Linked DNA regions of Oryctolagus cuniculus. The protein of the gene in region 1 interacts with the protein of each later gene in a pairwise test. Links are inferred from orthologs where the notes say so. Each region holds a gene or a part of one and is shown in the gene's direction. Other genes may lie near its edges. The genes, in order: TEX11 and POM121.

Evidence for each region.
Region 2: the proteins of TEX11 (region 1) and POM121 interact in binary tests that used the Homo sapiens proteins (3 or more experiments, as listed by UniProt). The two-hybrid records come from large-scale screens. The link is inferred for Oryctolagus cuniculus from reciprocal best matches to the Homo sapiens genes TEX11 and POM121.

The regions. Positions count from the first base shown.
Region 1 is NC_091453.1:50,676,020-50,679,824, reverse strand, and holds part of TEX11 (testis-expressed protein 11), read left to right. Parts: intron 1-387; coding exon 388-468; intron 469-559; coding exon 560-679; intron 680-3,805. UniProt on the Homo sapiens protein: Regulator of crossing-over during meiosis. Involved in initiation and/or maintenance of chromosome synapsis and formation of crossovers.
Region 2 is NC_091450.1:50,673,897-50,678,491, reverse strand, and holds the start of POM121 (nuclear envelope pore membrane protein POM 121), read left to right. Parts: upstream 1-1,789; 5' UTR 1,790-1,829; coding exon 1,830-2,401; intron 2,402-3,048; coding exon 3,049-3,264; intron 3,265-3,531; coding exon 3,532-3,690; intron 3,691-4,595. UniProt on the Homo sapiens protein: Essential component of the nuclear pore complex (NPC). The repeat-containing domain may be involved in anchoring components of the pore complex to the pore membrane. When overexpressed in cells induces the formation of cytoplasmic annulate lamellae (AL).

The DNA.
Region 1 (3,805 bases):
AGAGGCCCAAGTTTTGGAGCCATCGTCTACTGCCTTCCATCTGATACATTAGCAAGGAGCTGGATCAGAAGCGTGGAGTAGCCAGGGCTTAAACTGGCACTCTGATATGGGGTGCAGATGTCCCAAATGGTGACTTTTAAAGTATTCCTGTAGCAAATGTGTTTTAGGCCTATTCTTTTTTTGTTATTATTTTTATTAAGATATTTTTTCTTGAATTATGTAATACAAAGTAGAACACAAAACTCTCCTAAATGCTGACTGTTCCTTTTTGTTTTCTGTAGGTTTTGTGACTGAATATTGATAGAGGAGCATTTTCTCCAATATCCCCCAACCAGTCTGGGGAGATGTGAACTTTAAAAAATTATTTTTCTAACTTTTCTCTTCTAGATGAATATTAAAACAGGAAGAGGCTGGATAGATATTGGAAAAGCTGTGCGTTCTGATGAATTTTTTGAAGCTGCCATTGTTGTAAGTTACCTTTGATTTTTAGCTGTGGCAATTATTAGTAACATCTGTGGCTGTTCTCATCCCCACATTGTATTGCATTTTTATTTCCCAGGGTCTGGAGCACTTATATGTCAGATTAGTGGAGAGGAGTTACACTGAGGCACACGTGATCATTCAGAAGGTGGCTGTGGAGAAGGACCTCTTCAAAGTCTATTCTCACCAAGCAGAGTCAGTAGGTATCATAGGCACACAAGCCTTACTACGGGGGCAAGTTATAGATGTAAATGCAAGAATAATGAGAGGTAATCTATTAGAAGAAAATCAAATGTCACTGGCCATTTATAGGATGCTATATTTGATCTTTGGATCTTGTCTAATGTCTCAAGGAGACATGACTAATGGTGACTGGATCTGTATGGGAGTGAATGGGGGTAAATGACTAATATATATTTTCAACCACTGCATGTAACATCTGTCATTTATTTGTGGCAGCAGCCTTTTCTTGCAACACCTGTCTCCGTGACTGTCTCTTACATTCAGTCTGTCAAATATTCAGTCAAATATTTACTTGAGAAGAGTCTTTTCATTTGCTGTTGTTTTTCATTTACTATTTTTTTTATTTTAAAGATTTATTTATTTATTTGAAAGTCAGAGCTACACAGAGAGAAAAGGAGAGGCAGAGAGAGAGAGAGAGAGAGAGAGAGAGAGGTCTTCCGTCCTCTGGTTTACTCCCTAATTGGCTGCAATGGCCGGAGCTGGGCCGATCCAAAGCCAGGAGTCAGGAGCTTCACCCAGGTCTCCCACGTGGGTGTAGGGGCCCAAGGACTTGGGCCATCTTTCACTGCCTTCCCAGACCATAGCAGAGAGCTGGATTGGAAGTGGACCAGCCAGCACTTGAACTGGCACCCAAAAGGGTTGCCAGCACTGTAGGCGGTGGCTTTACCCACTATGTCACAGCGCTGGCCCCTTGATAATTTTTTTAAAAATAAAGTTTATTTATTTATTTTGAAAGTCATAGTTACAGAGAGAAAGAGGAAGAGACAGAGGGATCTTCCACCTACTGGTTCATTCCCTAGATGGTCACAACAACCAGTGCTGGGCCTGGCTGAATCCAGGAGCCAAGGAGCTTCATCCAGGTCTCCCATGTGGGTGGCAATTACCCAAACATTTGGGCCATCTTCTGATGTTTTTCCCAGGCCATTATTGAGGAGCTGGATTGGAAGTGGAGCTGCTGGGACATAAATTGACACTCGTGTGTGATGTCAGTATCACACGTGGTGGGTGGCTTTGCCTGCCGTGCCACATTGCCGGCCCCTTGATGATGCTTTAAAATATCTCCTGTTATCACACAATGTTCAAAGTTGTACTTTGCCTCTGTTTGCATTGTAGGTTTCCTCATTTTGTTATAGTTAGGTGTGCATTTTCAGTTGACAAAAAGCAGTGATGAATTTGCTTAATGTAATTATGTAATCCTGGAAATGAAAGAGGCACTAAAGTCATCTAGTATAGCCCCCTTTTTTACTTTTTATGATTTTTATTAAGATATGATTTATATACCATAGAATTCACCCATTTACAATGTTTAATTCAGTGCTTTTAGTGTATTCACAAAATCGTTGAGGCCATTTGCGGAGTGAACCAGTGGATGGAAGACCTCTCTCTGCCTCTGCCTCTGCCTCTCTGTAACTCTGTCTTTCAAATAAATAAATAAATCTTTTTAAAATAAGAGAGTACAATGTGAGATAGGGATATAGCTTCATTTACATGTGGTTATCCAGTTGTCCCAATATCATTTATTGAGAAGACTATTCTTTCCAAATTGAGTGATCTTGATACATATATCAAAAACCAATTCATCATAAATGTGGAGGTTTATTTGTGGACTCTTATTTCTATTCCATTGATCACAATGTCTATTCTTTTTTTTAAAATTATCTATTTGAAAGGTAGAGTTAGAGAGAGAGGGAGGGAGGGGAGAGCGTCCAGAGATCCAATTGTTTGCTCCTCAAATGTCCTCAACAGCTGGGGCTAGGCCAGGCTGAAGCCAGGAGCTGGGAATTCCATCAGGGTCTCCCATACAAGTGTCTTGGGGCCCAAGTACTTGTACCATCTTCAGCTACTTTCCCAGGCTCATTAAAAGGACACTGGATCAGAAGTGGAGCAGCCAGGACTCTCTCTCTCTGCCTATGCCTCTCTTTAGCTCTGTCTTTCAAATAAATAAATAAATAAATAAATATTTTAAGAAGGATTAATAACATTAATATGTGGTGTCTCTTTCATAGGAGCATAAGTTTTTGGGAGATCCAGAAATGTAAACATGCATTTCAGCAGGGTAATTGCCTTGAAGTAATGTGGATGAAGTTCTTCAGTAAAACAAAGGATTAGTAGTTTATTTTGATGTGAAAATTAAGAAGATTGTGAATTTTGGGGGAGTATAAAAGGGACATAAAATAGATATTTTAAATTGCAGAGGAGAATGAGATTTTTTAAGGTTTATTTTATTTATTTGAAAGGCAGAGAGAAAGAGAAAGAGAGAGAAGGAAAGAGAGAGAGAAAGGGAGAGAGAGATCTTCCATCCATTGGTTCACTCCTCAAGTGGCCACAGTAGCCAGGGCTGGACTAGATTGAAGTCAGGAGCCAGGAGCTTCATCCAGTTCTCCCACATGGGTGCAAGGGCCCAAGTACTTGGGCCTTCTTCTGCTGCTTTTCTCAGGCCATTAGCAGGGAGCTGGGACTCAAACTGACATCCATATGGGATGCTGGCACTGCAGGCAGTGGCTTTACGTGCTATGTCACAATGCCGGATCCATTTTTTAAGGTGAGAGATGAAGTAATTTTTAGAGGGATACAGTAGGAGGATATGGCATGCTATAAAGTACTTGAGGAATATGATAGAGTCTGTCCACCTGTGTGGGAAATATACTGCAGAAATCAACAAAGGGGAAAACTCAGTTTTATTGAGCATCTACTATATGCTTGACATAGTACTAGGAGCTGTAGTGTTCCTAATTGCTTAGCTGGAGTGAAGGTCCTATTGAAGTTAGCATAAATTCGTAGAGGGTCCATTTAGCATAGTTTACAGTGGATGACAGTGCCCTCTCTCTGTCTCTCTGTCTCTGTCTCTCTCTGTCACATAAATAAATAAATATAAATAAATAGTCTAAACAAAATTTTAAAAGTAAAATACCGTATCTGTTAACTAAATTCTTCAATTCTTAAATGGCTGACCCAAGCCTCTTCTATAAATGCTTAATAAATCTTTACATATTTATTTTTTATTTGAGAAAATCTTGCCTTTGATGGCTCATTCCCCAGATGCCCCCTGGCCCAGGCAGGGTTGGGCCAAACCAGAGCCAGG
Region 2 (4,595 bases), on another chromosome or scaffold:
GCTCCTTGCCTCAGTGGCGCGGCCACGTGGGGACTGAACCAGCAGATGGAAGATTTATGTCACTCTTGCCTTTCGAATAAATCAAATTTAAAAATCTTGGGGGGGCGGTGCTGTGGTGCAGCGGGTTAAAGCCCTGGCCTGAGGCACCAGCATCCCATATGGGCACTGGTTCTAGTCCCGGCTGCTCCTCTTCTGATCCAGTTCTCTGCTATGCCCTGGGAAAGCAGTAGAAGATGGCCCAAGTCCTTGGGCCCTGCACCCACATAGGAGACCAGGAAGAAGCTCCTGGCTTTGGATCGGTGCAGCTCTGGCCATTGTGGCTATCTGGGGAGTGAACCATTGGATGGAAGACCTCTCTCTCACTACCTCTCTGTAACTCTTTCAAATAAATAAAAAATAAATCTTTAAAAAAAACTTGGGGGGCGGGGAGAGGAACCCAATTAAGGGGCAGTCAGCTCCTCCTCCTCTCTGCACAGGGGTCCCTCGTCTGGCTGGAACTTGTTCCAGCTGGTTTGTCAGCTCCATCCCGAGCGGCTTCCCTGCCCTCCTTCCCCTCTTCATTCTGTTATGCAACCACAACTGCGGGGCCTGCTTCCTGCACCAGGAGGAATTGTCACGCAAAGCAATTTATCTGCAGCAAAAAAAGGAATCTGAGGGGAATCTTCCCAAAGCCTCCGTTGTTTTAGGAGGACTGACTATGTAAGAAGGGGCGTTCTTGTCAGAGGGAGGGGTGGGCTCCAAGGTAGGCTGCGTGTTGTGGTGATGAGGCTGACGCTCCTCCAGGGGCCACGCTCGGGAATGACAGGTGGATGCCCTTAGCGCCGTCTGCGCCAGTGCTCTCCTGCCAGGTAAACGAAAACCTGAAAGAGCTTTGGACGCCGTCAGCTGCTTCCACGGTTTCCAAACAGAAGCGAGTTCCAGTAAAGACTTCTGGGCTACTGAGGGCACTGGCTGGTGACAGTCCCTTCTCTCTGCGCGTCTGCTCGCACCCGTCACACACACGCGGAGTTGTGCACCTTTCTTTCCCCACTTAACCGGAGAGCCCTGAAGCTCCGATCTGTCCTTCCCCCTTAAGTCCTTTAACGCCTGTCGACGGGATGGATGAATCAGTGAGGAAAGCCGAGCCAGGCCAAGGTCTGCAATGGCAAACCACCAGGTCTTTAAAAACAGCTTCCTTAAGGCGTAGCTCGCAGGGTCGTGCGACCAGCACCACGCCGTAATTCTGAAACACTTTGTCCCCTAAATCGGAAACCCGTGAACCAGGAGCGGTCGCTGCCTGCTCGCCACCCTGTAGACCCCGGCAACCGCCGATTCCCCTTTCTCAGACGGACCGCAAACCCTCAAAAACCGCCCCTCGTCTCGGGGACCTGCAGGAGCACCGTCCGGCTGGGTCCGCAGTGTGTTCAGAGCTAGATCCCCGCTGCCGAGGCGGGGCGCGGCGGTCCCGCTCGCCACCCTTGCGGTTCGCCGTCAATCCCCGTTAGCTGCGAACGCTCCGTCGGAAAACCGGGCTAACTGCGAAATCCCGCACCGCTGCGAGCAATTGTGCTGAGTGCCCGCCGCCCAAGACGTGTGAGCGCAGGGTGCTGGGGAGAGCAGCCTTCCGCAGCGTCGAGTCCTTAGGCGAGTCCTCCGCGGACGGTGCGCGGGACACCTCCCGCAAGCAGCCCGCACTTTCCCGAACCCGGTCGGGAGCGGGCGCGGGCGTTGCCGGGCAGGAGCGCTTCCTCCGGAGGCGCCGCGTCCGAGTCGCGCGCGCAGTGACGCATCCGGCGCGCGGCGCGGTGCACGCTGGGATATTTAAGTCTTCTCCGCGGCGCGGAGCCGCGATGTCTCCGGCGGCTGCGGCGGCTGGAGGCGAGCGGCGGCGGCCCATAGCGAGCGTCAGGGCCGGCCGGGGCGCGGGCGGAGGCTGGGGCCGCGGCGGGCCGGCCTGGGCGGCGCTGCTGGGCCTGTCGCTGCTCGGCCTCGTGCTGTACCTGGTGCCGGCGGCGGCCGCGCTGGCCTGGCTGGCCGTGGGGGCTACCGCGGCCTGGTGGGGATTGAGCCGTGAGCCCCGCGGTTCGCGCGCCGTGTCCTCGCTCGTCCGGAACGCGCGGCGCCAGCGAACGTTGCTCGCTTCGCCCCCGGCCAAGGCGGCGGTAAACGGCGATCTCCTAGAGCCGCGGACCTTACTCGAGGGACCCGACCCCGCCGAGCTGCTGCTCATGGGCAGTTACCTGGGCAAGCCCGGCCCGCCGCCCGCGGCCCGCGCGCAGGAGGGCAGGGACCTGCGGGAGAAGCCGGGCCGCAGCCCGCCCGCCCGCGCCGGCGCGCCCGCGCCCCCGGCGCCCCGCACCCCGCAGGCTTACCCCTCCTTCTCCTCCCCTGTTCTCCGACCCAACAGGCGACCCTCCTACAGGTAGGACACGCGGCCCACGGCCTCCCCCGGGCGGCTCGGCCTTGCCCTGCAAACCGCGACTCGCGTGTGGTTTTGTGCTTTTTACCGAAAACCGTGGTGTGTGCTGGCCGCCCCCGGGCCTCCTATCCCTGTAGGAACGAGAGACCGTGTGGCCAGAGCTCTCCCTCCCACTTGCAACTCCTGCACTTCAGTGTGGTCTTGATTTATCCGAATGTTTAGTAACCCCCGACGTGTCCCTGCTGGTCCTGTCGCGTGCTGGCTGCGGCCTCGTCTGGACCAGAGGTTCTGTTCGCAGAGCTCCGGGAGGGATTGGAGGCAGCACCTCTCAGATTTAGTTAAAGAAACGTTTTCGTTTGGTTCCGGTAGCCGACAAAAGGGGGATGGGTTAGATTTTTGGTGCAGAAGGCGTGCCTGGGAGTGGGTGCGGTAGAACCCCTCCCTGCACGCCCCGGCCGCACACCGCCCTGCCACTGCTCCCTGACTTGTTTGGGCAAGGTTTTAATTTCCCTCTCAGATGGTTGAGGTCTGAGCCCGTGCCACCCTCTGCCCTCAGCTGGAATGGGTAGGGGGCGTTGCCATAGAACCATGGTGGTGTGGGTCGCCTGGGAATCGCGCGGGCTCACGCGGGCCGTCTCCGTTGCCGGCAGGGACTGTGGGACTTTATCGAATCGGTTCGTAATTACGCCCCGAAGACGCTACCCGATCCAGCAAGCCCAGTACTCGGCGCTGGGAGTGCTTCCCACCGTGTGCTGGAATGGTTGTCCCAGGAAAGCTGTGCTCTCCGTGCGCAATTCCAAGATGGTGTGTAGCCCAGTGACCGTGCGGATAGCCCCTCCCGACAGCAAGCTGACCCGTCCTCCGCTGTGAGTACCTCCGTCTGCGGCCACCACCTTCCGCAGTCCTGCTCGTGGCCAGCAGCCGTGGAGCCAGAGGGAGTAGCTACTTATCTGAAAGAGAAATCCTAAATTCTAGTGGAACGCCCATTTATCATGGTCTTGCCGGTCGCTTTAGGTTCTGGGGGCACTACACTCTGGCGAGTCGGTGGGCCCCCGGTTTCCAGGGACCGCACCTGTGCCGTTCGGAGTGGGGAGGGAGCATCTTCACTGTTTGGATCTCGTCTTCCATTCCAGCCCCGGGCAGACCGTCGACGCAGCACTGGCCTCACCGGCAGCCAGCGCCCCAGACCCGTGTGCGAAGGAGACTGTGCTGAACGCCCTCAAAGAGAGGAAGAAGAGGACGGTGGAGGAAGAGGACCGCCAGTCCCCAGATGGCCTGGAGAATAAGAGAAGGTGACAGGGCAGTGGGTGCTGACAGGCTCACGGGCCCGCAGCTCCTAGCAGCTTCCGCTGGAGAGCCTTGGCTACTCCCCAGCCTGGCTTTCGGAGAGGAGCCTGGCGACAAGGACAGGTAGAGGCCGCCCGCTTCCCAGAGCACAGGGCAGATGCGTTTTCCTGCGTTTTTTTTTTTTTTTTTTTTAAAGATTTATTTTATTTATTTGAAAGAGTTACAGAGAGAGGAAGAGACAGAGAGAGAGGTCTTCCATCCAATGGTTCACTCCCCAGATGGCTGCAACAGCTGGAGCTGTGCCGATCCGAAGCCAGGAGCCAGGAGCTTCTTCCTGGTCTCCCACGCAGGTGCAGGGGCCGAAGGACTTGGGCCATCCTCCACTGCTTTCCCAGGCTATAGCAGAGAGCTGGATCGGAAGTGGAGCAGCCGGGACTCGAACCGGTGCCTATACGGGATGCCGACGCTTCAGGCCGGGGCTTTAACCCGCTGTGCCACAGCGCTGGCCCCAGCTCCTACATTTTGATACAGATGTGTTCAGTTTTCTTTTCACACCTTGCCCTCACAGCTGTGTGCTTGGCAGTTATTTGGGTAATCACCAGTTAAATCCTGTATTTATGCTGAAGGAAACGCTTGTCCAGGAACAGTGAGCACCAGAGTAAGGCAGGCGGATCAGCGATGAGCGTGAAGCCAATTTCCCTATTTGGTTTTCATGCTAATGTAGTAAAAATGGAGTCTGTTTCCTGAGCGTGGGCAGAACGGAGGCTGAGTGGCCAGTTGGGTGCAGAGCACTCTGCGGCTGCCCAAGGAGCCACTTCAGGATTTCGCTCAGTTTCCGATTCAACAGGCACTTCCTGAGCACCCACTGTGTGCTGGGTCACAGTCCAGGCACCGTGGACAGAGCAGGAAC